Rhinolophus ferrumequinum: one gene and its partners. The protein of the gene in region 4 purifies or fractionates together with the protein of the main gene of each other region. This does not show direct contact. Links are inferred from orthologs where the notes say so. Each region holds a gene or a part of one and is shown on either strand. Other genes may lie near its edges. The genes, in order: IGF1R, MAP3K5, NOLC1 and ARRB1.

What was found.
Region 1: the proteins of ARRB1 (region 4) and IGF1R purify together in Homo sapiens (affinity purification with western blotting; 3 studies listed by BioGRID and IntAct, with this or other methods). This does not show direct contact. The link is inferred for Rhinolophus ferrumequinum from reciprocal best matches to the Homo sapiens genes ARRB1 and IGF1R.
Region 2: the proteins of ARRB1 (region 4) and MAP3K5 purify together in Homo sapiens (affinity purification with western blotting; 3 studies listed by BioGRID and IntAct, with this or other methods). This does not show direct contact. The link is inferred for Rhinolophus ferrumequinum from reciprocal best matches to the Homo sapiens genes ARRB1 and MAP3K5.
Region 3: the proteins of ARRB1 (region 4) and NOLC1 purify together in Homo sapiens (affinity purification with mass spectrometry; 4 studies listed by BioGRID and IntAct, counting the BioPlex papers as one, with this or other methods). This does not show direct contact. The link is inferred for Rhinolophus ferrumequinum from reciprocal best matches to the Homo sapiens genes ARRB1 and NOLC1.

What each region holds. Positions count from the first base shown.
Region 1 is NC_046311.1:11,461,782-11,468,645, forward strand, and holds the start of IGF1R (insulin-like growth factor 1 receptor), read right to left. Parts: upstream 3,010-6,864; 5' UTR 2,908-3,009; coding exon 2,814-2,907; intron 1-2,813. UniProt on the Homo sapiens protein: Receptor tyrosine kinase which mediates actions of insulin-like growth factor 1 (IGF1). Binds IGF1 with high affinity and IGF2 and insulin (INS) with a lower affinity. The activated IGF1R is involved in cell growth and survival control.
Region 2 is NC_046286.1:82,961,619-82,968,686, forward strand, and holds the start of MAP3K5 (mitogen-activated protein kinase kinase kinase 5), read right to left. Parts: upstream 3,023-7,068; 5' UTR 2,811-3,022; coding exon 2,369-2,810; intron 1-2,368. UniProt on the Homo sapiens protein: Serine/threonine kinase which acts as an essential component of the MAP kinase signal transduction pathway. Plays an important role in the cascades of cellular responses evoked by changes in the environment.
Region 3 is NC_046299.1:22,809,346-22,817,034, forward strand, and holds the start of NOLC1 (nucleolar and coiled-body phosphoprotein 1), read right to left. Parts: upstream 3,019-7,689; 5' UTR 2,932-3,018; coding exon 2,812-2,931; intron 259-2,811; coding exon 203-258; intron 89-202; coding exon 1-88. Other genes in the region: PPRC1 (peroxisome proliferator-activated receptor gamma coactivator-related protein 1), read right to left, coding at 4,990-5,093, 5,370-5,521, 5,762-5,883, 6,002-6,068, 6,173-6,310, 7,109-7,689. UniProt on the Homo sapiens protein: Nucleolar protein that acts as a regulator of RNA polymerase I by connecting RNA polymerase I with enzymes responsible for ribosomal processing and modification.
Region 4 is NC_046294.1:50,017,900-50,024,799, forward strand, and holds the start of ARRB1 (beta-arrestin-1), read right to left. Parts: upstream 3,021-6,900; 5' UTR 2,837-3,020; coding exon 2,781-2,836; intron 1-2,780. UniProt on the Homo sapiens protein: Functions in regulating agonist-mediated G-protein coupled receptor (GPCR) signaling by mediating both receptor desensitization and resensitization processes.

The DNA of each region.
Region 1 (6,864 bases), on a different chromosome or scaffold from region 4:
CAATAATTTGCTGCTTAGGTTGTTTCCAAACTTCTTATTCTGGGTTCTTTTTTCGGGGAATAAAAAACATCAACTCCTTTCAAGACCGATCTTCCACACATCCATTTTTCTGACAATAAGGACAAACACGTGCCTGGGGCAGAAAGATGACTGGATCCTTTTAATGAGATGGCCACAACATGTGTGAAGTGCCCATTGATTAAAAAAAAGCCAACAGATTATTTGGCTATAACTTCCAAACTCCCTTATTTAGACGCTCTGTTCATGTTGTACTGATACGAAACAGCCATGTCTGTATGACTTCATCTGCTTCGAAACTTCTAACTTTTCTAAGTTAAAGAGTTTTAAAAATCACCCTACTGCGGTCACACTCGGAGAGGAAACACGAATCCCTAAATATGGGGAACAACCACCACCCCAATCCTGGTTACTGGACTAGCCAGCCAAAAGAATGTCAGGCTCTGATAAGATGTGGCCGTTACTTCTCTCAGAGGTAAGTGTTTAGCACCTTTGGGATAAAAACTCAACGCAGGTTCACGCTAAGCCTATCGTTTCATCCTCAAAACTTCAGAGCTGTAGGGAGGGGCAGGTCCTGAGTGAGAACTCCAACAGACCATAATCAGGATTGGGGGTGCCTTCTGGCCTCCCATCAGGTTTCTGGGAACCAACAATTTCCAAGGCATCTTTGAGTAAAGCGTGGGCTACATGGGATTAGAAACGTACGTTAAAATACCCCTAACCCTCCTGTTTTCTCAAGAATGAAACGCCTTTCACAAAGGATATTTTTCAAGAAGAACGCTCCAAACAAGACATCCTATTTTAAAATGCCGGCCTCCTCTATCGGAGGCCATCACTGTTGCTGAGAATTTCATAACATACTAACATTAAAGAATAAAACGAGAGACAGTACAGTTCAATAGCAACGCCACTCTAAAAATGGATTAACACCGCTGCGTCTTCCAAACTATATTTAGCTTTCAAAGGCTACAAACCCTCTTCTGTCCCCCCAAACTCTGTCTGTGAGGCTTAGAAGGGAGCCCGAAAGCCTTTCGCCCAATCCGTGGAGCTGAAAGTTTAGAAAACAAAGAGCAGAAGAGCTCAGATTTGGGGACGGTCCGGCCTCAGTCTGCGTCTGACTCCACGCAGTAAACACGCTAATCCTATAAAAAATCTGCTCGGACTCCATCGTGGACTCAGCTCTTACCAAGCGGTTAAGAAGGGTTTGTTCACACGGCCTTTCCGAACGGCCCCCGCTGCCTCCGGATTCTCCCCCTCATTCTTCACGGCTCAGTCGTGATTTTCCCAATTGGCACTACCTGCATAGCCTCGCAACCATTACTCACCAGCACGCCCTCACCGGCCCCAGCCCGCAGTCCAGGGACTGCATTTAAACTTTAATCGTGATCAAGTTACCCTGCCGTCGCGCATGCACCAGTAAGCCACACTTTAATTTTTTGAGAAGCAGAGAACCCCCTCCTGCCCTCCCCCCACACCCCAGGGGGCCCCCACTTCTCCCTCCCTCCTCCCTCGCGGTGCTTCCCTACCCCTACCCGACACGACCAAAACAAAAGCTATCAGATTGCCAGCGATAGCGAGTGTGCAGCGACACTGCTTATTAACTATGTACAAAGGAAGTGCGGGGCCGGGGGAGGGGGCAGCGCGAGACAACTGCGGCCACGAAGCCCAGGCCAGCGCTGCGCGCTCGCAAAACAACACGCGCCCCTCCCCACGCGCCGCCGCCATCCGTCCACCGCGGCGCAGGGCACCTCTGGCCAGGGCGCGGCGTCTAGGTGTCCCCACGCGGCCGTGTGGCGGCGGCGACACCCCCGCGTGGCAAGCACGTGTGTGTACATGCACGTCGGCTGCGACCACAAACCCACTCCCGCACACTCGGATGCTGCCCGACCACCCCCTCCCCAGTCCCGCCAGGGGGAGGAGAGCGTCCACGGGCCGGGCAGACCCTGGGAGGAGGTCCCGGAACCCTCGGAACTGGGGTCCAGACGCGCTCCCCCAGAAGAGTGGCCGGTGTCGGGCCCCCGACTTCGCACTTTTCCAGGAGCTGCATGGAGGAATGGGGGTGCAGGCGGGCTCGCTCCCGCACCCCAGAGCCGCACTGGGCAGCCCCGGGAAGCGTGGGACAAGGAACCTGCGGCGGATCGGGTGAAAATGACGCGAACGGCCAGGAACCCAACGAGCCGGAGGGGCAAAGCGCGTTGGGTGACAGGAGGCCGCACCGGGATGTTTGGAAACGTGTCCTGGGGCTGCGGGGCCGCTCCGCCCGGCACCTCCTCATCGAGGGCAACTTGTACCCCACAGGCGGCTGGGCTCCCCGCCAACAGACGCAGCGTCTGCCCCACAGCGAGGGCTCCGCGCGGCCGCACGAGCTGTCCCCGCGGTCTGCGCGCGGTGCGGGCGCCAGCGCGGGGTGCGGACCAGCCCCGCGCGCCCCGACAGGGACGAGGTGCGGGCGGCGTGGCCCCACGGGGCGCGAACTTCCCGGAAAGAGTCCCAGCGCCTGGCTAGGAAGGGAGCGCCACGGAGACACGCGGCCCGCGCGCGGGGCACGGCTCTCGGGACAGCGAGCACGCCAGCCCGCGAGGCCCTTCCCTCGGGGGCACCGCGCGGAGCCGGGGCCCGCGGGCCTGCCACCCCCGAGCCCGCGGCCGAGCCCCTGCGCGGCCCGCCCCGCCCCGCCGCTCCTGCGCCCGCGGGCCCGACAGCTGCGACGGGGGCCACTCGGGTTTCGCAAACAGGGCGCAGCCCCTCGGAGGAAAAGTTCCCGCAGTGGCCGCGGGCGGCGGGCACATACTCACTCTCTCCACTCGTCGGCCAGAGCGAGAGCGCGGCGGAGACACACAGGAGCCCCCACAGCGAGGTCAGGGACCCTCCTCCGGAGCCAGACTTCATTCCTTTGATTTGGGACGAAATTCCCCTTTCTCAAAAATAAAAGGGGCGGGCGGGCGGGCGGCGTGGGGGGGGGAGGAAAAGCCAAAGTCTCCAAGTCAGTCTTCGCTCCCCCTCCGAACACAAGGGCGAAGCAAACAGTCCTCCCGAGGCGGCGCGGACGGGGCGGGCGGCGCGGGCGGCCCCTCAGCGTCGGCAGCCGCGGCCCAGGGCTCGGCCGAGTCGGGAACCCGGGGCGCGCCGGGGCGGGCTGTCGGCGTCGTCGGCCTCCATTTTCAAACCCAGCGAAGCAGGCGGGGGGGGGTGGGGGGGGGCTGCAACGGGAGGGGGGCAAAGCCCAAATCCGTCCGGGCCGCGCGGCGCACACCCGATCGCGGCCCCCGGGGGAGGCGGTGCGGGCCCCGAGCCGCGGCGGCGGGAGGGCGCGACGCAGTTCGCAAGCCGGCCGCGAAGTCCCGGGTGCGGGCGAGGCCGGCCGGGCCGAGATGCGGAGTCAAAATGAATGAGAGGCTCCCCCTCCTGCAGGTCCTCCGAGCTCCTGGCGCCGCCGCCGCGAGCTCCTGCCCAAATCCAGGACGCACACAAAGCGGCGGGCCGGCCGCGCCGCGCTCTGCACTCCCGCCGCCCGCCCCGCGCCGGCCCCCGCCCGCCGCGCCGCCGGCTCCGCGCGCGGGGGCTCCGGCTCGCTGAAGGTCAAAGCCGAGGCGCGCGGCGCGCCGTGGAGCTGCCCCCCGCGCGGGCGGGAGGGGCGCGAAGGGCCCGGGGAGCGGGGCCGAGGGTCTGCACGCGCCGGGCACCGCGCGCCGCAGGCAGGCTCGCTGGCGGCGTCCCTCTCGCTCGCCCGCCTCTGTCGAGTTCGCCCGGTGCGCTCGCTCCTCCTCGGGTTTTTTTTCCCCTTTTTTTTTTTTTTTTTTTTCCGCTCAGCGGAGTTAATGCTGGTAAACAAGAGCCTCAGCCTCGCCGCGCCGCTGCCGCCGCCGCCGCCGCCGCCGCCACACACTGGGGGCTAGCGCGCGCGCGCTCGGGCCCGCGCACACGGACGCGCGCGCGCGCACCTCCCGGAGCCGCCGCCGCCGCCGCCGCCGCCGCAGCCGCGGCGCGCCCAGGGCCCGGCCCAGGCCGGCGCGCGCCAAGAGCTGGAGCCCGGGATCCCAGGGACGTGCGGAGCGGAGCCGGGGCGTGGGGTACGAGGCGGCAAGGCACCGCCCCGCCGCCCCCGTCCCCCCGCCCGCGCGCGCCCGGAGACGCGCGCGCGCGCCCACACGCTCTCGCCCCCACCCGCACTGCGCCGGCCACCCTGCACGCGCCCTCCCCTCCCGCAGGACTCCAAAAACAATGCCCCCGGCGCCGGTCCGGGCGGGTGGTGGGGCCAGCCGAGGAGGGGTGGAGAGGCGGGGAGGGAGCGGGATGGGCGGGGAGTGCGGGGCCCGAGAGGTTCATTGAAAACAACAACAGCGCGGCTGGAAAGCGCGTTTCCCCGGTTCTTGAAAAGCTTCATTGTTTCTTGCAGCTGTTGCAAAATAAATAAATAAGTGCGTGCATGCGGCATTTTTTCGCAGCGCTCTGGAAAGCCCGAACGTGGCGGGAGGGGCACACCTGAGAGAAAGGCGATCCCTCCCAGGCTCCCAAGGTGGGCACTTTCACGCATGGCTAGGGCGGCCGCGGTGTCGCGACTGGGGAGCCCGGAGTTGCGAGGCTCACGGGGAGCTGAGGGGGAAGGGCGCGGCCCGCGGGGCTCGGCTAGGGGGTGCAAGGGGAGACGGCCAGCCGCCCGCCGCGAGCCCGGAGCCGGGAAAGGGGGGCCCAGACAGGCTGCCCCGCGTGCCCAGGGCGCGTCCCCGCGGCGGCCGCCAGGGGGCGTAGCAGGCGCGGGGGAGGGCTGGCCCGCGGAGTGTCGCCTCCCTCCGAACCGGAGAGGAAATGTGGGGGCCCGGACTGGGGGCCCGCTAGACTGGGTCGCACTGGCCGGGCCTCGAAGACCCGCGGCCCGCCCCAAAAGCTCCTCGCGCTGCTCCGGGCTCCACCACGTGGGCGGCTGCTGGGAGCGGCCAAAGCGCGTGCACCGTGCGGGCCGCGGGGGCCCCCGAGGCTAGGGGGCGTGTCCGAGGGGCCCCTGAAGGAAGGGGTCCGCGGCCGTGGCGGGCACAGTCTCCTGGCTGGGGTCGAGACCCTGGAACACGCCGCACATACGCGCGATCAGTGTGGTCACTGCGGAAACCCACCCGCACCTGCCTCGGGTCCTCCCGGGCCCCTCCCTCTTGCTTCCTTCGCTATGTAAGTGACTAGAAATCAGCACCAGCCCCAAGTCTCCTCTGTGGTTTTCTTGAATGTGCCCAAGGAGAGGTTTCCCCAAAACAAGACTGCCCGAGAACTGCCATCTAACGAATAAACGCTGCGGAGACCAGGTCCTTAAAGGGGGAAACAGCCCAGCAATGGCTGGAGAAAGGAGTTTGAAATACGTGGACTTTAAAAAATAGTGAGTGGGCCACGTGTTGCCCTTAATGTGGTCGGGTTTCAAGACTCAGGCTAATTGATGTTAACAACAAATAAAAAGAAGATGGCTAATAAAAGAGTCGTGAATGTCTAGATCGAGTAGAAGTGTTTGTCTCATGAACAACCAGGCTGTCTGGTAGGAAGGGATCTGTTCTAAAGAAAAGGTAGGTTTCTTTTCTTTTCTTTTTTTGTTTTTTACTCTTTACGTGTAAAAGATTTCCGAGTTACATTGTTTGTATCCCATCGTTTGTAAATCATTTTTAAAATTAAGACCTGAAAACAAGTCAAAAGCTATCATAATGGAAACCTAGCCTTCCCAGACCCCCATACTTAGTCCCTAGATCATTGATCTCCTTGGAAATTTTTAGCTCAATTCAGTATGTCAGTTGTATAGAAGGGAAATAAATCTTTTTTTACTTACAAGAGTTTTTCATATGGGATTGTTTTGCTTAACTGAATGAAATTCAGCTTAACTTTTAAATAAAAGATTCCAGTTTTAGATGTTATGGACATTAACAGAGGAAGAAATGTATTAGAATCTTTACAAAGAAACAAGTTTAGCACGTATCATTTAAAAATCAGGCACTACATGTGAATAATTAAAATTCAGTCTACTAATTTTTAAATATTCCTTCAGAGAGTTCCCTGCATGAGGTTGGTCTTGATGCCTACAGATTCATTCTGCAGTTAAATGTAAAGGAAAATCAATTTTATATTTTCATTGTATTTGGTGTTTAGAATTCTGAAATACATGCTTGTAAATTTAGACAAGTTGAGAGCTGACTTTTAAAAGACTAATGCTAATAAAAACTCTTTAAATACTATACAATATATTTTTAGTATTAGTAATAATTCCCATTCATTTGTCCCTAAAGACATAAGGTACACAGAATAAAGGACAAATGCTCAGTTGTTTAAATTGTAGTGATTTGGGTATTTTTTTTTACCAAAATGATTTTTCATTTGTCAATTTTTAAAATGTGTGTGTTTTCCTAAAGTAGTGGGAAATAAATAAGATTAAGCTATTTTAGATGGAAAAGTTAGATGATTATTATTATATACCTTCATTTTTAGAAAAAAGAGAATCAAAATATAAGTTGCCTTTCAGCTTTAACTTGATCACATAGACACAAAAGGCAATTTTTATCTTCTTCAATGATTACATTCTACATACTGAAGTCAAACTTATTTTTTCCACCTTGGAAATAAAATCACGTGGTAAAACATTCACTGGAGTCTTAGCTTCATAATCACACTGACAGTGCATCCCACTTGTTTGTTGTTATGCCATTTTCCCCAGGTGGCATAAATTTCCCTTCTTTTGGAGCAGAAACTGGTGGCTTATTTTCGTTTTCTTAAAAACTGTGCACTTGAAAACAGCTATATCTCAAATGATGCTGCTAAATGTTTCAGACAGCCCCAAATGTAATATATACCAAGTGAAAATATGAGAAACAGCCCAACTGA
Region 2 (7,068 bases), on a different chromosome or scaffold from region 4:
AAATTTAAAAAATATTTTGTGAATTATATGAAATTCTAATTTCAGTGTCCACTAACAAAGTTTTATTGGACTACAGCCAAGATCTTTTGTTTAGGTACTGTTTATGGCTGCTCTCCTGTAACAACCACAGAGTTGAGTAGTTGTAAGAAAGACCTCCTGCAGAGTCTAAAATATTTACCATCTGGCCCTTGACAAAAAAATTTGCAGAATCCTGATGGAGGAGGAGCAAGTGCTGTCTTAGAAATCAGAAGAAAAGTTCTACTACCATTAAACTCAGCAGCCTCTACTACCATTAAACGCTCAGTTTAGGAAAATAAAGGGTTTGGACAAAACCGATACCCATCTTCATTGTGGCACATTTTGAAGCTGAATGAGAAGGCTCAGAGTTCACGTGACTCACATAGGCAGAGGTTAAACTAGGACGGGTACAGGATGATGGAAGCGGTGGAATGGGACAGAGCTGGCCTACAAACACTGGTCTTCCTAGAACAAGTTCTCCCCACTATTGCGTTGCACACTGCCCCTAAACGGCTCACAAAGTCTCTGTCCATCCTCTGTCACATAATTCCAAGATAGAGAGCTTCTCTTGACTCTGAGAGAAAATCAGCTCAACTAAATGGAGGCAGCAAGCTTGAGCTTTTAGAGTCAGAAGCGGATTCCCAGCACCGACCAGTTACTACCTGAGTCCTGGGACCAGTTCTGGATCCCTTGGTCTTCTCACCTAAGAAAGACAGTAAGCAGGGACTTCCTTCACCAGTTTGGAGCATTAAATGAGATATACAGTTCAGATGTCCAGTCCCTTCTAATCTTTCTCCCTTTCTTAGGGACACTACTTGGAGAATAAACAGTAAGTGAGCCTTGACAGAAGACTTTCAAATCGGCTTAGAGTTTAAGATATTTTCAAAGCGCCCTATCAGTGGAGTAAAAATACACTATTTGGCTGGGTGTTTCCCTCACACATCTTTCAGTTCTTTGAAGCTTCCTCCTAATTATAATCCAAAAGTAAGAGTGCTCTCATTTTTAGAAAAGTTATGTTTATGCCATTTTTTAGCAAGCCACCCAAAGAACCAAGCTACAATATATTATACTCATGTTCAGTTATGAAGACCAAGAAGGCTGTAAAAAATACCAGAACCAGAAAGTCCTAGTTTATTTAGTCTGGCTTCCTTAACATGAAGTTCTTGTGCTTAAAATATTCAGCTTTGACTGAATTCCAAAACTGACATAAGCCTACTTTAGGTGTTCTGAAGAGGCTGAAGAGAATGAGAACTGAAAACAAGATTAGAATATAAAACCTTTTATGTGATCACAAATGCAAGAGCCTTATTGTTTGAAACCACCATTAAATCAAATTTTCTGCCCACACTTATAAAAATAAGTATGTATATATGTTCAATATTGGTTATACAGGGTGCTAATGGTTAGTTTAAATAACATTATTATTCTTAACATTTGCTAACAGATAGCTAATCGCTTCAGTCACTGGAACTACAATACTTTCTGAAATCTGTGATAGGTTAAAATACATTTTTTTCATGGATCATGCTAGCAGTCACTTTAATGGCCAATTTAGTGTTGGCTGTCAAGAAAGCCTATCAGCATTTTAAACAATGCTAAATTATACACTTTCCAGTCCATCATGGCATATGGGGTAATGAAAAACAGACCCTGGTCCTTTCACTGAAATCCTAACAAAGATACCACACAAGTTTAGTGTAAGTTACAAGGTTATTACTTTTGGAAGTAATTACTTAAAAGTTGATAAGAAATGAGAAATTCAAGCCACCAAACTTAAGGTAACATGAGGTGGGAAGATCAGGACATGACATGCAAATTCATACAGACACACTACGTGCATGCAGCTGGCTGTGTGGCATAAGTTATGGTTTCTGTACTCACAAAACTATACAGAAGAAAAGACCAAAAAAGAAAAAAAAAGAGAACCCTCACCTCAGTCACAGGTAGATACAGAAGGAAAATATGGGCCAAATCTAACACAAGAGAAACCAAGACACTGAATGAAGGGCTGATTGGGGCCAGTATCTCGCATTGCTGAGGAACAAAAGTTCTGTATGAGGACCACACAGACCCCAGGGCTCCAGCGCCGGTGGGTGGGTGGGTGGGTGAGTCAGCCGGTCTCTCGCACAAATACACACAGGCTCTTGCACCAGCACCCACTCTCTCCCAAGAGCAGCGAGCGCCAGCAGCAGTCGCGCAGCGCTGCTGTCTCTAAGGTGCGGCAAGAAGTAAATAAGTAGGAAGCACTCCTGCTGCCCAGAAAATTATTTTTCTCCTGCCCAGAAAAACATATTTTTAAACCCTGCAACGGCCAGGGATCGTGGAGCATGGGAAAGGGTTACACACGCACCTGCATTGTAAAAACGGTCCAGCACCGTAGTCTCCCCAAAGTCCAGTTTACCAAAATGCAGGGTCTCCAGGGTGGCGCCCACCGTTTCGCACGCCTCCCGCAGGCTCTGCAGGGCCTCGCTCTCAGCCACCACCAGCTGCCCCTGGCTCGCTTCGTTGATCACATATGCCACTGTGGTCCGTCGGCTGCCTCCGCCACCAGAGTTGCCCCGGCACCGGGTGGCGCTGCTCCCGGAGGTGGCAGCGGGACACCCAGTGCCAGGGGCGGCGGCATTCTCCACGTTCCAGAAGCTGCCCGGTGGCGGCGGTGGTAGCTGGCTGTCCTCGCCCTCGGCTACCACTCCTCCCCTCCGGCAGCTGCCGCCCTCAGCGAAGGCACAGGGGCCCAAGGGGGCAAAAGGTGGCACGGAGAAAGTGATGCCCTCGCCCGCCTCCGTGCTCATCTCTCCCCGCCCGGCTGCAGTGGCGGCGGCGTCCCCAGACCAGTCGCACCGTCTGGCCAGCCACAGCTCGGGGCTGCTCCGCGCGCGCCGGGCTAAGCAGCTGCCATCGCGCGTCGCGCCTTCCGCGCCGCGCCGCCGCCTCTTCTCAGCTGCCCTCTCCCCCGAAGGGACGCAGCCGCCGGGCGGCGGCTCGCCCCTCCTCGGCGCCTCCGTGGCCGCGCCGCTCCGCTCGCCCGCTGCAGGGTGTAGAGTACAAGGGGTGGGGAAGTCGGGTTGAGCTGGAAGGGACAGTGCTTCCTTTTCTCGGCGGGCGAACAAGTCGCTCACAAACCTGCGCCGCGGTGCAGCTCAAGGGCGCCGCTCTTGGGGTGCGGTGCGCCTTGGCCACCAGGAGCACGGCACCGGCTCCTTCCGTGCCAGGCGCTCTGGGAAGGGCCAGGAAGAGCGTTCTCTGGGTGGGGAGCTACCTGGCCAGCACCTTACGGGCTGGCACGCTCCCCGGGCTGCGTGCCGGAACAGCGGCAGCTGCAGTCGAAAGGATCCGCCTCGCTGTTCCACGGCAGTTCTCCTTCATCTGCTCTATTTCCTCTTCCTCCCCTGATCTCCTTTTTCTTCCGATCGCCGCGGCCGCTAGGTCCCGGCGCCAGCCTTGCAGCTGGAGTCTCAGCGCTCCTTGCAGCCGCTCACGCTGTGGGCCACCGGCTTCTTGCCGCCCACTCGTCGCAGCACCGAGAGTCAGAGCCCGCCCCAGGGGAGGGCGTTGCTGGGAATCTCGAGCCAGGACAAAACTGATCGCGCCCAGCACGAGTGCTGTCCGGACCAAGGGTCTCTGCCGTCTCCAACCAGGCCCCCACCTAAGAACATCTGGAGTAGGCAGAAGCCCGGAGCGCACGAGACAACAGTATGACGAAAAAAAAAAATAGTCTCTCTGGCGAATGCTCGGATCCTCTGAGCTAGCCTCGAGGCATTTACAGCGTTCACCGCCGCCACGGCGCCCTCCTCTGGTCCCTGCCTCCGCAGCGCAGTCTGGAACCGCCGCCTGCCCTGAAAGGATTGGGGCAGCGCCGGGAGGCCCGCGTTGCGCAAAGCGGGGGCATTTCAACCAGCGCTAGGGAATTGGGGCCTAAATTGGGGAGGGTGTTTTATTAGTGACAATGGCGCTCCGGAATTGGCAGGCTAAATTTATCAGATGTGCGCCTGTACTTTTCATTTAAAGTTTTCCAACAGCTGTGCTATCATTAATGAGTAATTGATTAGGTTCAACTGCTGAGAGATTTAACATTCTCATTTAGGATCTTAACCTTCCCCCAACACACACATATGCTATATACTTACTTGAGATAGAAGAGGAGGTCTATACCAGATTCGGCAAATCATCAGCCGCCAGTTGAAAGAGGAAAATTAAATGACTTCTTCTGTTTTTTTAAGTTGAACCACAGGCAGAAAAAATATGTGGATTGCTTAAGAGCATTCAAAAAGTACCTACTTATTTGGGGAGCAAAAATAGAAGTGTAAATTCTCAGAGAACTCCAGAATGCTATGACTTTAGGAAAACCAGTGAAAATTGCAAGAAAATAAGGTAGGCAGGTTTTGGGTTTCCCATCTCCAGGAACTGAGATTAATGAGTCCTATGAAAAAGGTAGAAGAATAATTCAAATTACGTTCAAGCTTGGGTGAAAAAGGAAGGATGAAACAGTTGAGTAGTAAAGAGTTCAAATGAGGAAGAAAACAGTAATAAGAAGAAAAACACCTAGTAGCTACGCAACTGTATCCCCAAGGAAGCAAAGTGACATTAGCTTTTTCTAAAGGTTTGTAAACTGACAGAAGTGAATTTATAGTAAGGATACTTAACACTCTTCATATCAATTGGAATCCATGTGATCCACACGTGCTTTTGGACTTGATGTCATTAGAAAAGTATTTAGTGAATCAGTGACCGTACTGAAAACAAAAACAAAGACAACGTTGATGGGCTACTAATATAATAGATATATAACGTTTAGTATTTCCAACGACTTGTCAAACCTCCAAACTCCTGCGGGAATAGATGATCCTCTACCCCATCCTGACCCAAAACAATAAACACTGGAAATTCATTAGGATCAAGTCTGGAAAACTAAAATGCCTAAATTCTCAATAGCATTTTACCACACAGATCTAAGATTATATAAAGGTATTTTCTAAAAACCATAACTTTTTAGACCGTTTCAGCTTTGCTTCCCTTCTAGATCTTTTCAGAGCCACCTTTTTACTTTTGCTCGCTTCATTTTGCTTTGAATTGATTTAATAATTTTAAAGATTTTATTCATTACTGGCACCCAAACCCCAATGCAATGCTGAAAGACTGCTTGTACATAGTTGGTCCTAAGGCTCTCTCACTACCTAAATGGCATGGTTTAGCTAATGAAACTTACATGGCATATATCAGGTTGAATCATGGAATTTCCAGTTTTATAACTAATAATCAAATATGCAAAAATTCAGATGGTTCAACTTGCAACGCAAATGTGGGGCCTGTGTGTAAGCAGAGGAGATAGATGTGGTGCCAGTACCCAGCCTGCCCTCAGCTTGCAAGGCTGGCCCAAGGTGCACATCTGGAGAAATGAAAGCATTTTTCTAATTGGACCACCCAGAGGATGCGCATGTTTGCAACTTGTCTGGATCAAAGGAGCACTTTTTTCTAAAGGGCATCTCAGGGTTGTTCTCAAACAAGCAAAATGGTGAATTTCAAGCTTGAAATGGGCAAGGATCTCCTAGCTAGCTAGCTTTTGTTTTATGTGACAAGTTTGCCTCTTTCTTTGTATCCTCAGATAAGTGGGAATACAATATACGTAATTGTATTGTACTCGTAATTCTAAAAAGTATTTAAAGTTACGTACAAAACAAGGTACATATAATTTTAAATTGTCAGAAATCAATCAGGAAGCCAGTAAAAGAGATATCAAGCACACATATAAATACATAATTCAGTTAATTGCTAAACTGAGCTCTGTGTGTTTTGGCTGCTAAAATAAAAAGAAAACATGTAAGAGTACACATATTCATATGAAGAGTCAAATCTTTTTCCGACATTAAATTCTATACTTTACTACATAGAATCTGATATAGAGGACAGTGGGCAATACAATGCAATTGAAAATGGATTTGTTTGTAAAAAATTATATATGTTAGTTATATATTAGACATAAATTTATGTTTAATATTTTTAAAAGCCAAGAAGATAATATTAATTATTAACTCAAGGAAAGCATTTTAGAAGAATCTAAAATAAGACAAATCAGATATAATACTTTCTGGTTATATTGCTTTAATAAATGGAGGAACCAAGGGGATTATATTTCTTCGTTAGCTCACAAATTGACATTCTGCATCAGGGCAAAAAGGAACCCAAGGAGACAGAGAGGTAACATGTTGCGTAGATCCACAAATTGCAGGCTTCCCGAAGCTTTTGACAAAGATTAAATCACAGTCAGTAAATGATAGAATTATAACATCATAAAGATTCTATGACATCTTTACACATGAAAAAGGCATGGCAGCAGAACTGAAGTTTACCAATCAGAACTATATTCTCAGTCAGGGTCCATCCCATTTCCATTTAGAGATGGGCCTTGGGACACTTTGAGAACACTTGCAGGTAGGGCAGAAAATTTTCCTAATAAAAAACTGGAGGAATATCAAGGAGAGATTTCCGCTTTCTGATTATGACAGGTTAGGTAATTCTGATCAACCCTCTCACTGAAGAAGACTAAGAATGATGGACAAAATTTTTAAAATAATAATAATTAAAATAAAGGCATCAAAAAACTAATGAGATCATGTGAAACTATATGGCCAGATTCTGGAAGAGAGGGCAGGGATCCAGAGGGTGTGCCTACAGTCAGGGCTGCTTCTGTCCTGGCAATTTTTGTGGATCTGAATTAAGCAGCTGAGAGGCTAAACTGTTGTTTTTTTGTTTATTGGTTTTTTTTGTTTTGTTTTGTTTTTTTGGTTTTTGGTTTTTTTCACAACACCTGGAAAGTCAAAAGTAAGGATGAGATAACCTAGAAGTCAGGGTGAACTAGAAGTGAAATGACCTTTACCTGGATAACAACCAGGCCTCCAGACATTTGCGTAACCCAGGAAAAAGGCTCAAACCCTGAAATTGGATTAGGGTAATTCCAGGCATTTGGTAATCAAAATTCACTCCAGAGGAAGCTAACATCATCCTGGGCCATGAAGTATTTCTGTAAATATAAGATCAGTGAATGTAGGCAAA
Region 3 (7,689 bases), on a different chromosome or scaffold from region 4:
GCTGTCACTAGATGAAGTCTTCTTCTTAGCCTTCTTAGTCACTGGTCCATTTGCCTGTAACTTCCGCTTTGGAGCCTTGGTGGACCTGCTGAGGTAGATCAGGCTAACTTCTGGATGATCAGAAGTTCCTTCCCAAACCAAGGAACACATTCCAGCCCACTTGGGGGTAGAAAATAGCCACAGTGGTACACAGAACACTTACTTGAGCCAGAAGCTATAGATTTCCAAGAGGGAAGAGGCGTTGGCATCCTGTTGGGTCTGTAGGAGAAAAGAAAAGAGACTGGGTAAAAATAATTTATCCTTTATCCTGGTTATTCTAGGGGAGATCAGATTTTGTTATTCTCTCATTAAATGACCTGCTTTATACCTGCTATAGTTCACATAAATGTTACAACTTTGTGTGACTTCTCCTACTTTCACAAATTAGGAAAAAAATATTCTCTTCATGTATTTCCCAATTTTTGGTACCAAAAGCTTGGGCTAGTCTTATAGTTTCTGGCACCATGTATCCCTCACCTGTCCATCCTATTTATCAAAGATTTTTAAAATGTGCATTTCCCTTACTCTAACAACGTATTATCTAGGAATTTATCTTACCCATGAAACAAGGGCACAAACATTTATAAAAAGGATGTTTGCTGCAATATGATTTATAAAACCAAATCACTGGAAAACAGCCTCCAAGAAAAGATTGGTAAAAAGCTATGTATGTCATGTATTCAGTACAGAATTGCATCCAGCTACTAATTACACTAGTATATACAGGGGGTGCCAAAAAAATGTATACAAGTGGATACTTTGGTCAATGTTGCTCAAGCAATAGTTCGCCTGTAATCAGAAGTGTCTGGATCTTGGAGCCTGTGGAGGCCTGCTGGGAACAGGACTTCTAAAACAACAAATATGTCTGGAAGGCTGGTACAAAGCCATTTTTGCTAGCTATAAGCGGGTCTACAGAACCAGAGAATGCACACAACTCTTCTTAAAACTGAAGGTGTTTATGCTCGGGATGAAACTGAATTCTACCCAGGCAAGAAATGTGCTTATGTGTACAAGGCAAAGAACAACAGTGACTCCTGGTGGCAAACCGAACAAAACCAGAGTAATCTGGGGAAAGGTAACTCCATGGAAACAGTGGCATGGTTCATGCCAAATGCCAAAGCAACCTTCCTGCTAAGGCCATAGGACACAGAATCCATGTAATGCTGTACCCCTCAAGGATTTAAACTTACTGAAAACTGAATAAAGTGGATTTATTCTCTTACATTAAAAAAAAAAAAAGGAAGTGTCTGGACGTGCTGATGGTAACCACTTTGAGCACCTCTTGTAATTGCAGAAGTCAAACAAGACTTGAATTCATCTTTTGTTATTGGTATATATTGATTATTACAATTTTAATAGTTTTCCTTTCTTAAAATGTGTATACATTTTTTTGGCACCCTCTGTATTACTGATGCAAAAAATGGCAAGGCATTACAGTACACATGAGTACAGGCTCCGAGTTAAATGAGCAAACTACTTAATCTAAGCTTGTTTTCTTCTCTATAAAATGGAGATGACTAACACTACACATTTTAAGTTGTTGAGAGGATATGAGATAAGGCACATAAAGGGTTTAGCATCTGGAAAACATCTGGCCCTTAGTAAGCCCTCCACAAAGATTAGCTTTTGACACATAAAAAAGAATCCCAATTCTGAAAGGGCCAATTCCATCCAGTCCATTGTGGAAACATTCTTTGCAGCCTCCCTAACAGTCAATTCCAGTTCCAATATGAAAGCAGTTATATCGGATCACATGGCAGCTTAAGGAAGGCATGCCCCAGCTTAAGGAAGTCCTTTCTGAGGCTGATCGGATTCTCAACTTGTGCAGCCTGATTCTGCATCAAATAACAAGTTTATCTTCTTCGTCAATGACTAGCACTGCGAGACACTCTACCCTCTCTTAAGGTTTTTTCCCATACAGTCATGTCTGTTTTTCTTGAGACGTAGCTTCCAAACCTTTTACATCCCTGGTCATCTTCCTTTTACTGTTTGGAACATCTTCAGTTACCAAAACTATAACAGCTTTCGCTCACTGATGCTTCCTGAGCACCAGGCACTGCGATTGCCATTTTGAATACAGGTTACTGAAACTTACAAAAATCCTATAAAGTGAATGACGATATCCCCATAGAAATAGAAACTGATCCAGTTTAAGCAAGCTGGAGTCATACATCTTTAAGCGGCAGAGCCTGGTCCCAAACCTGTATGTGTTTGATTCCACAAGTCAAAGATCCAAGCCCACTGCTGTGCCTGCTTGGTAGGGATATGAGGCTCAATCCCACTTCAGTATAACTGAAAACAGAACCCTGCCTCTACTCTCGTTCATTTTCTTTACTAACGAAAACCCCAGGCTTCTAAAGCAATTTTATTTATATTTGAATCCAGGATAAATTCGATTAAGAATTAAAATCTAGTCACGCTTGGCATCAGCCAACGTAAGGCCCAAAGAATGAACCAGGAGTCTCCAATGCCTCCCTCCGGTGGTACAGGGCACTCCCTCCACGCCGCACTCGCCAGCCACGTGATCTGGGCCACGAGGGTCCCACGCTGCCGCCAGAGCACTGCTCACCAGAAAAAAAGCAGCAAGACTCAGCGCTATTTAATCAGACCTCGTGGGCTCCAGGCTTTCTCCAGTCACCGCGGAGACTTCCGCACAGGCGCCACAGACACTGTGCTGGCAGACCCCACCGACCTACCTGGCAACCTAAGCATGTCAGGGCCGGGAGCCCCGTGGTCATCCCACCCGGCCCGTGCCCCAAGCCCGGGACTCACAGCGCCTGTTGCCTTGGCGAACTTATTGGCCACCTCCGAGAGCTGGTTATCGCGCAGAAAGCCGAGCACGAGAGGATACAGGTCGCTGGGAACCACGCGACGCAAGCCGGCGTCCGCCATCCTCCGGGCAATACGCGTCACTACCGTTCCCGACACGCACGACAGAGGAACTCAAGAACCCGGAGACGCGAGGACAAACCCTGTGACGCCATCGCGCCGCGCGAGCGCACAGCGGAAGGGGCGGGCACACCCCACAGGGCAGTCCCTCCTCCACCTGGAGGCAGGGTCAAGGCGAAATCTGTAAACTCTTTCCGGTCCCAGGAGTGTCGCCATCTTGGTAAGGGCGGAGTCTGCCGCCGCCACTTTGTGAAGGCGGAGCCCTGACGTAAGGGGTCACGCCCACGGCCATGGCGGGAAAACTCTGGACTTCCCGCGCCGTCTTTCTCCAGGAGGAACCTTTTCTCCCAGCAGCAGTTTTCCAGCGCCCTAGCTGGGATTCGGATTCTAGAGTAATGTGGACCCGTGGGCTCGAGCTATCCTGGGACTCTCTAGATCAGGGGTGTCCAACCTTTTTTCAACGTTTTTCACCAAGGGCCATATGTGGAAAAATACACAAACAGCTGGGCCATTCACTCCAGGTGCAGTACATACTGCCTCACCTGGTTTATTTAAGTAAACTAAATATATTTTTGGAATTTGCTGTGGGCCAATTAACAATGGATTGCGGACCGCAGTTGGCCTGCAGGCTGCAGTTTTGACACCCCTGCTCTAGCCCGGCATAAGATCTCCCAACCGCCCCCATTCTCCTCGCTACCAAAGGATTCCCACCCTTTTATCTTCACCGCCTCCAACACCTAGGGAGACCCTTTCTCAGATACCACCCCAGCCTCTGGATTCCCACCTCTATGAAAAAGGATCCTTCAGATTATCCGTGGTAGAGGTGGAGTGTTGATCCCCAAAACTGTCCCTCCCTCACTCATGTCTTGCCCATAAGACAACCCTTTCCCCTCCTTACTCAGTCTGTTAGTTCCATGAAGGTAAAAGGGGTTGTGCAGCAAACCTGGGTGACACAGCAGCAATCTGTTCAAACTATAGTCCTGATAATAACCCTTCTACCTCCTGGGTCACAGTTCACATAGATCTAGAAAACCCCCCAACTGCCTATCCCTTTGTCCTGAATACTCAAATGTCAATGCCCAGGCCTGCCAATTCCAAATTCTATCATATTTCAGTTCACATCAGCAGACATCAATTCCTTCAATCCTACCCACTACCCCTTGACTACTTCCCATTTAATGCCCCTCAGGAAGGGAAAGGATGCACTTTCTCAGGGGACACACCTCCTCCTTTGCCTTTCTCAAAATAGGCATTCCCTCTCATAGATATAACTCCTACATTTCCCTCTTCCCCAGAGGTCTACCCACATGCATGCTTTCTTTAAACATCTGAGCACCGGTTGTGTGCCAAGCATTGTGCTCAAGCTAAAATGTACAAGTCTATTTAGAAAATCTTTATACAGAGCAAGTGTAAGTTTCCTCTAGGTCCGTGGTATTAAAACCCTTTACTAGACCAGTAGCATCAGCATCCCCTTGTTTGAAATGCAGAATATAAGGCCCCCATCCCAGAAGTCAAAATCTGAATTCTAAAAAGATCTCCAGATGATTAAAGTGCCTTTTTAAAGTTTGAGAAGCACTGCCCTAAATGACTGATTTCACTGAGGAGCCAAGTTTCAAGTCCAATAGGATTTTGCACCTGAGCAGAGGGGTCCCAGTAACTCAATGGAGGTAAGCACGACACTGTTCAGAGAGCAAAAGTGAGTATGTCTGGCACTAACACCACAGAAAGAAAAGAAGCACAAAGAGCACATGGGAGTTCTCTCTAGTTTATGTTTATTAGTTTGCGTAGTGATGTAGATCTTCCAAACACGGGGGGGGGGAACCCCTCAACCTCACCCATCTTACATAGAAATGCAAGTTAACGTGTTTCAATTCCTGTTATAAAAAAACAAACCATACCCTTTAAAAAATCTGATTTAACACATTTTTTATTTCACGTTTTTTCCATTTCTTTATAAAAGTCATCTCCTCACTAGCAGCTCTCTCCCCTAGAGTGGGAGAGGGGGATGGAGATGGTTGGACACCTCCAAAGAAAAGGGGAAAAGGGGAGAAGGGCCCAGGGTTACCTCCTGAGGTTCTTCTGGGCCTGTTTCAACAATGTGTCAAAGTCAAGAGAATCAAATTTGCTCTTTACAGGAGCAGGGTCAAAGTCTTCCCAGTTGGAGTCTATAAAGGTAGAGATAGACAAACATCAAGGTCTCTGACGGCACTTCCCAGCTACAGGGTCCTCAGCGGGCCCTCCACCTCCCATCCCAATAATGGATGGAGCTAAACTCACCCTGATTTTAAGTAAAAAATATGAGAGCCCCCATTTCTCCTTTTCCCATCCCTTAGGTTCTTCGCATGTCAGGTGACAAGTCTGCCTAGCCCACTCTCAAAAGGGCAGGGAACCCTTCCGGGGATATCAAGTACACCAAAGCCTCAGGGCCTCCCTCCACTCACCAAGATCAGAATAGCTTCTCTTGCAGAACTGCCTGCGGCCCCCAAAGCAAAGATCAAAGGGCTGCTCATCTGCCTGCCTCAGCTTGTGGCCACTCTCGATGGCTGCAAATGCCTCCTCAGCATAGCGGTAAGTGACGAAGCCATAGTTGTCACTGGTGGGGAGGGTGAGGCAGAGGCTGGCTATGTGGGCACATGCCATGGAGGAGAAACAGCCCCCCGGGGTACAGAGAGGGACTGGAGTGGTTCTTCTAAGTTCCCAAATGGCCAACCCCAAACATAGGAATGAAGTTGTCCGACATTGACTGTATACCAGAGCAAGAGGAAACGACAAAGAAGCATCAAGGTACATGAATGGGACAAAAGGACATCCTGACCTTCGGGCCCAAGCTTACCCTTGGACACGGAAGTGGATGGTGCACTCCTCAATCTCTCCAAAAACAGAGAACCTCTGTTTCAGCTCTGACCGAGTCATGCGGCCAGGTATCTTCCCAATGAAGACCACTCTTCTCTCCTCCTATGTTGGGTCAAGGAAAATTGACACACCATGAGCCAGGGCCAGAGCTACAAATGGCTCTCTGAGCTCATGGCTCAGAGGCAAGCCCCTTCCTCCCACAACCTATTCCTCTACTCACTATTGCACGCTCCTTCTGCAGCACTCTTTGCCTTTGGTAATGGTCGTGTGAACGATAAGAGCTGTACCTAACGAGAAGAAGGTGCCATCAGTCTCACTGACATTAGACAGCTCAAGTTTCAGAACTCTCAGTAACTTGTAGTGACTCCCTGAACACATGCTACATGCTCACCGCCGCCTCCTGTCACTTCTCCGGCGGGGGGATGGGGAACGGGACCGGCTTCGGGAACTAGATGAGGATGAGGAAGATGAGGAAGATGAAGAAGAGGAAGAACATCTTCCGGAACGTCCAGAGGAACTGCAACTGGACCTGGAGAATAAAAGGGCACAAAGAAATGCTGGGAGAGGTGCAGGTGTATTCCACTTACCTCACCTTGGCCCTAACCCTGCCTCCCTATAAGGAAGCTCAGGGGCAAAGGAGAGCAGAAGAAGTCGAGAAAAACTTCACAGATGACCAAACAGGTCCTTATGAATTTTAGACGTATCTGGAATGTTTTACAATGTTTTGGCACAGATCCTATTTCTTTTCAATTACACAATTAAAAATTGAAAAATATTTCACAAATCAGAAAGAAGAAAAATAAACAGAGACACAGAGAAATAAAGGCCTCTTTATCTAAGTGGGAAAATCTGGACCTTTACTGAGAAAAAGATACTGCCAGGAAACAGATGAGGCCACAATGACACCCAAAGGAACTGCCCAGACACTTTCCCCAACAGAACATGAAAGGGAAGACTATCTACCATTAACAACCCACGATCCCACCTTCCCACATACCACCAGGGAAATACCAGAAATGAGGACTGATACAGTATGCGAAGGAATCAACATGGTCAAGATGAAACCCTAATGGGCCTCCCCAAGGCAGGTCTCAAGGAAGCAGGAGACCTCAGGGATACCCCAAACGCCAACAGGGGACAGAAGCTATCTTCTCACAGCTTGCCTCCTTAAACAATCCATGAAAGGGGGAAAAGACAAAAGCCAAAGACAGAAGTAAAAGCCTTAATGCCTAAAAGTATCAAACTCAATGTGCAAAAGCGTTCAAAGTGAACCAGAGAGTACAGAACTTCCTAAATGGAAAGGACCTAACAGGCTATCAGAGCTCACCTTCGCCACCTCTTGTGTGGAGGGGAGAGGGACCTGGACCGGGATCGGGATGAAGACGACGATGAGGATGAGGAGGAAGATGCTTCACTGGTCCGGTTGGACCCAGAGCTGACAGAACTGCTGCGGCCACGGTGGCCCTGCCAGCCCCTGCTTGGGGGGCTGGCTGACCTGCAGGCTTTTCGATAACAGCGCATTGACCGCTGCTTGGCTGAGGCCTTGGGGGGAGTCCTAGTGTTCGTGTCATTCCGGCAGGGTGAGGCCTCAGGGGACAGCAAGGCAGATGGGGCAAGGCAAGAGACCGGGGAATCTGCCTGCTCACTGCTAGTCCTGTGATCAAGTGGCTCCTGGGAGGCAGCTGTGCGTGAGGGCAGGGGGGCAGCTGGGCCCAGGGACAAGACAGGTTTGATGGTGATATCCTGATGGCGTTTGACATTCCATCGGGAACCTGCCTCTGGAAAGACTAAAGCAGGCATCTTTTTTGGGGGTGTCCTGCTCCGGACACAATAGTCATGGTCCCCAGAGCCCACATGGATTGGACTAGGGCCATGGACCCCTTCTTGGAGGCGGGCTGCAGCTGGATG
Region 4 (6,900 bases):
GAGAAAAAGAGAGGAAAGGCCAGAGTTAGCATATCCCACGCAGGTGAAGGCTGCTGCAGGCCGTCCCTCAGCAGGACGGAGGACAAGAGGCCTGGAGCGATTCTCAGGCACCATCCGAGCCTCGAGAGCATGATCAGATCTCCCCATCTCCTCCGCTACCCTCACCCAAGCCAGCATCACTGCCATGACAGGTCTCCTGGGCTTGGGCCCCTTCAGTCTGTTCTTCAACGGGCATGTGGAGAGTCTTTCAAGATGTAAGTCAGACCGTCCTGCGCACTTGCTCCGGGTCCTCCCAGCTCACACAGGACAAGCCTTGTCTGCGTGTCTGCCATCCTTCAGCTCCTGGCCTCCCCTCCCACGTTCCTCCCTCACTCTTCCAGCCACGGAACCTCCTTGCTGTGCCCCCACCACACCAGGGTGGCTCCTGCCTCAGGGCCGTTGCTCTAGCAGTGCCCTCCCCTGGGACTCTCTCCCCTCACAGATCGGCTTGCCCAGCTTGATAGGATGGGGCTTCAGCCTGTACCCACCCCCACTCCCACTCCTTCTCACTCTATTTCTCCTTTTTCCACAGCACTCACCATTTCCTAACCTACTACGTCATGGCTGCTTACATCTATGCCTGTCTACTCTGCTGACGTACCAGCTCCATGAGGGCTGGCATCTTTGTCTCTTTTGTCCACTGATATATATGCCAAGTGCCTAGATGGGTGCACCTAGTAGGTGTTCAATAAACGTGTTAATGAATGGCAGGCAGCAAGCACTCCATAAATATTAGTTGAGTGGATGTATGAATGAATGATTGAATATTGGAATTAACTGAGGAACGGAGGCCCAGGAAACAGAGGGGCTGTGCCCGTGGCCACACAGCAGACAGAGCACTGGATGCAGATTTAGGCGGAGGTGAGGTCTCCAGCTCCCGCCAAGCGCTCACCCTTCCACAGCACGCTGCTAGCTCCAGCAGCTCCCCCTGCCCTCTCCCTCCAGTTGGGTCTGGGAGCCTGAGACCCCCTCACCTATCGCCCATCATCAAGCCCCAGAAATGCTCAGAATAATGTTTGGAGGGAGAGAAGAAAAGTGAAAGATAGAGACAGAGACCCAGGGGAAAGTATTAGAGGAGGGAAGGGAGGAGGGAGAGGGCAGGAGAGGGACATGCTCCGGGAGGTGTGAAAATAAAAGATGGAATGAGAGATGAAAAAAACAAATGAACAAAAAACGATAGGGAGAAACAGTCCCAAGCAGAGAGAGCTAGAGCAGACAGAGAGATGGAGCCAGCCCACATGTGGCCAAGCAGGATCACACAGCCCAAATCCTTCCCCAGGAGCGAGAGGTCCAGCAAGGCGGGGTGAGTTTACATTGTCACTGTGACAGTCGCTCCTCTAAGGAGCTGGTGGTGGCTCTGTACTGCCTCCAATAGCATATCCCCCCACACACACCCCTTACTTCTGAGGCCCAAGGAACCGTGGATGCGTCTGAGCTTGGCTTGCAAAGAAGAGCCTGGTACGTCCCTCCCCCACCTCCCCTAGGAGTTCTGAGCTTTTCTCCTCCTCATAAATATTTATCAGATGTGGAATGTGAAGATGCCATAGTCAGCTGGGGTATAATAATTGCTAAAGTGAGAAAAAATACAGATCACACGGTTCGACCAGCAGCTCCCAAGTTGGGCTGGACCTGCAAAGGAGACCAGAGATCCACCTCTGGGCCACAGGCAGAGGGTGGGAGCCAGGCTGGGAGGACTGAAAATCAGGAAGGGAGGAAGGGCGGTAAGAAAGAGCTAGCGTTTGTTGAGTGCCTCATTATTTCTCCTAACAGCACTGCGACGTAGGCATTATAACGCCCATTTTATAGATCATGAACTAGTGGTTCAGAGAAATGCAGTAGTTTGCCCAGGAACACACAGCAAGCAAGGGGCTAAGTCAGGATTCCGAGCTAATTCTGCCCGGCTTCCTCCAGAGGATGGCTACTTTATATCCAACCCTGCTGCTTTCCTAAAGCAGGTGTTTCCAACATCAGGAGCAGAAAATCGGGAAAACGAGGGCAGGGGAGGGGAGAGGAAGAAATGAAAGAGCCATTATTCATTAAGGGGTGAGAAGGAGATTAAGGGTGACCAGAGGCAGGAAGCATGACCCGTGGGGGGAATGTCCTGTGGCTAACTCAATCAGCCCCCTGGGGGGCCACCTCCTCAGGAAACTGACACACGGACGGCTTCCTCAGCAACAACAGCAGCTGCCATGACCTGAGAGTGTGTTATGCCCTAGTCCTGTCTCTAAGTATTTTTCCCAGAACACTGTTGATCTTTCAACAATCCCACTTGAGAGATGAGGAAATTGAGGCTCAGACAAGCGAACGGTGGCTGCCCGTCTCCACGCTGTCCTTTCCACTCTAGCGCACAGCCAAGCCCCCCCTGAAGCAACTTCACCAGCTTCCTGACCCCAACGCTGTCAGAAAAAAAGGCCCCTCTGGGGGTGTTTCCAGATCACTGGGACGCCCACGTGCGCAGCACCACACAGATGGCTTCTGCCTGCCCACTCTGAAGAGCTAGGATAAACACGCGAGACTGTGATCAAAGCTAATCTTCCAGATTGTGGGACGGCTGGGTCTGTTTCACCCCCAAGTTCCATCTATGCCCCCCAAGCCTGATTCTCAGAGTCAAGACCTGTTCCCATAAGAGAAATTCTGCTGGTGTTCTAGCTGATTGAGGCTCCCTGGAGACTAGGAACAGAAACCCACCGAGGGCAGCTCAAGAAAAGGAGAAGAGGGTATAAGGAGAAAAGAAATCTCACGGGAAGAACGCGCAGGCAGGATGCACTGGGGCTGGAGTCAGAAACGGGGAAGCCATCAGCCTCTCAGACGGTTGCTCTCTCTCTCCACCTCTCCCTCTGGGGCTGCATATTCTCCCGGCTGCACTGCTCTCTGTGCGGTTGATCCATTGTCTCTGTGGACCAACTCTCTGTGCTTACTCAGGGCTTTTCTGTTCTTCCATCATTTTGGCTTGCATCTGGCTCTCACTCTGACCCTGTTTCTACTCTGCCTCACTCAGCTTCCCACTGTTAACTGCTAAATGGCCCAAATCCAAATTCCCAGGAGAGGAATTTCATTGGTCACCTTTGATCAGGTGTCCCACACCTGGGCCAATCAGCTCTGCCTAGGGTGTGTCATGTGGTCCATGAGGCATGGGCAGAGGAGTCTATAAAGCAGTATTTTTCAAACCAGGGGTCAATCCTTAAATTGATAATGAAATCAACTTAAAGAATTGCCACCAGCCCTTTGCCTTTGTTGTTTTAATGGAATGGAATAGAAGATGTAAGCATGAGATGCAGATAGCAAAGGTATAATAGATATTACTGTCCATTCCCCTTTAGGCTGGGCAAATTTCTCCAGTGCTGTGAAGTTACGCATGCCAATGTGGCTTGCTCTGGCCAATGAAATATGAGTAGAAGTGCCATATGTCACTTCTAGGCAGAAACATTTACCAGCTGGTGCATGGTTCCCCATACCCTTTGTGTTAGTTTTCCATAGAGTCTATAACAAATAACCATGAACTTAGTGGCTTAAAACAATATAAGCTTATCTTACAGTTCTGTAGTTCAGAAATTCAAATTGTACCTGGGTTAAAAATCAAGATGTCAGCAGGGCTACATTCCTTTCCAGAAGCTCTAGGGGCAAATCTGTTTCCTTGACTTTTCCAGCTTCTCAGAGGCTGCCTGCATTCCTTGTTTCATGGCCTCGTCCTCCCTCTTCAGAGCCAGCAGGTTAAGTTCTTATTACACTGCATCACTCTGACCTCTTCTGCCTCCCTCTTCTACTTTTAAAGACCCTTATAAATACATTCGTCCTCCCATTTCCCTATTTTAAAGTGAACTGATTAGCAACCTTAATTCCATCTGCAACTGTAATCCCCCTTTGCCATGTAATAAAACGTCTTCAAAGGTTCCAAGGATTAAGATCTAGACATCTTTGGGGAACCATTCGTCTGCCTACACAACCTCTTTCCTCTGCCACTGAAACCAACAATGATCTGGATGGGGAAGACTCCAGCAACCTAAATTCCAGGGCACTCCTGCTACACGACAGACAAGTATTATAGCATGAGAGAGAAAGAAAGCTCTTGCACTACTAAGACCTGAGGGTTGTTTGTTACTACAGCAGACCAGCTTCTCTCAGCTGATATACAAAGTATTATTTAGTGAAACTTTCACGTTAGGTGTACTGAGTTCCAATGTGAAATGAATTTCATGCTGCAAATGTTTTAACACGTCTAAAACAAACATGCTTTATCAGTGTCTACCGTCTGTTGGATCCTGTTTCCTGATTCCATTCCATCAGGGTGGTGTTGCCAGAAAGGCTGGCAGGTCAGTTCTCCGTGATCGAGAATGTTGTCTTCTCTAGTGATCCCCACTCCCCACCTGCAGTTTGGGGTACCTGTTGATCAACATTGACACTAATATTTTGCTGCTATTCTGTGAGCCACAAGTCCTCCCAGAGTCTATTTGTGCTTGTAGGAAGAAGCCTGCACCAGGAGGGACTCAGAACAAAGCACCTTCTGTGACAGATTACCCAACAACCAAGAGTTTATAATCCCATGTAATACAGCCAAACAGTGGAATATTATGTAGTGAAAGTACGCTTGCATCTTTCGTAACACAAGGAAATGCCTATGATGGAATACTGAGCAAAATAAATCAGCATTCAAAGCAGTACATTGGCATGAGCTCAATTTATACTCAATACATACCAAAAGAAAAAATAATAAGACATAATGTTGTTAAGATGGCAATACTCCTCAAATTGACCTATAGAGTCAATGAAATTTCTACCAAAATTCCTGCTGACGTTTCTGCAGAAATTGACGGGCTGATCCTACAGTTCACATGGAAATGCAAAGGACCCAGAATAGCCAAAACAATCTTGAAAAAATAAAAATACAACAAAGTTGGAGGACTTACACTCCTGAATTCACAACTTAATACAAAGCTATCATAATAGTAACTGTGTAATACTGACATAAAGATAGACATATAGATCAATGGAACAAATTTGAGAGTCCAGAAATAAACCCATACATTTATGGTCAATTGATTTTTGACAAAGGAGCCAAGACAAGTCAATGGGGAAAAAAAGTCTTTTCAACAAATGATGCTGGGACAACTGGATACCCAGAGGCAAAAAAAAAAAAAAAAATTGGAAGTTAAACCCCCTACTTTACACTGTATACAAAAATTAATTCAAAATGGATCAAAGACCTAAATATAAGAGGTACAACTATAAAACTCTTAGAAGGAAACATGACCTTGGATTAAGCAATGGTTTCTTAGATATGACACCAAAAGCACAGGCAACTAAAGTGAAAAAATAGATAAAATTAATTTCATCAAAATTAAAAACTTTTGAGCTCCAAAGGTCACTGTCAAGAAAGTGAAAAGACAATCCACAGAATGGAGAAAATGTTTTCAAATCATGTTATCTGATAAGGTTCTAGTATCCAGGATATATAAAGACCCTATTATAATTCATTAATAAACAAATAACCCAGTTAGAAACCCCAGTTAGAAACTGGGAAATAACCCAGTAAGAAATGGACAATGGATTTGAATAGACATTTCTCCAAAGAAGATATACAAGTGGCCAATAAGCACATGAAATGATGTTCAACATCATTAGTCATTGGGAAAATGCAAATCAAAGCCACAGTGTGAGACTTCATACCCACTAGGATAGCTATAACCCAAAAAAGACAAAAGCAAGTATTGTCAAGGCTGTGGAGAAACTAGAACCCTCATATACTGCTGGTAGTAATATAAGGCGACGCACTCACTTTGGAAAAAAGTTAAACATGGAGTTAACAATGACCTAGCAATTCCATTCCTAGGAATATACCCAAGAGAACTGAAAACAGATGTCTGCATAAAAATGTGTACATAAATGTTCAGAGCAGCATTATTCATAATAGTAATGAAGGGTAAAAAACAAACAAATAAACAAAAAACCCCAAATGTTCATCAATTGATGAATGTATTTTTCTAAATGTGGTACACACCTACAATGGAATATTATTCAGCTCCAAAAAGAGGTAAAATATGGATGCATGCTACAACATGGATGACACTTGATAACATTTCGCTAAGTTAAAGAAGCCAGACAAAAAGACCATATATTGTTTGATTCCATTTGTAGGAAATGTCCAGAATAGGCAAATCTATAGAAACAGAAAGCAGATTAGTGGTTGCCCGGGGCTGTGGAAGTGGGAAATAATAAATGTTTACTGATGGCAGGAGTTTGTGTTTGGGGTGACAAAAATGTTCTGAAATTAGATAGTGATGATAGCTATAAGACCTTGTGAATGTACTAAAAACCACGAAATTTTACATTAAAACTGTGAATATTATGGTATGTAAATTATACCTCAATTTTAAAGAATACTAAAAACAAACCCCAAAAAATGAATGAAAGGAAAGTAATAGGGGTTGAATGAGACTCCCTCCACCTACCCACCCACTTCTTTATGTCCCTTATTTTCCATAAGCATAAATTACTTTATAAAAATGTGAGGGCTTCCCTAGCAAGATATGTCTCAAGTCTTGGTGAAAGGAGAGTCTGGAAAAAACATTGTAAGTAAAGTAGAGAAATATGGATCCTAGACGGAATCCTTTGATGTCAGAGTCTCTGCTTCTGCAATTTACAATCCAGAGTCCACATCCCTATGATTCCTTAGATCCCTCCCCAGGCCTGCTGTGTCAGCTGTTAGAACGCCTGTGCTATGTCTTCTGCTCAGCTATCTCCTTCTCCAGGAAGCCTTCCTTGACTCCCCCTATGTCTGGGTTAGATGCTCCCCAACACCCACGCCCAATGTGTCCCCCTTCACAGCATTTCCCACACTTTATAACGGTCTGTTTACTCATCCTC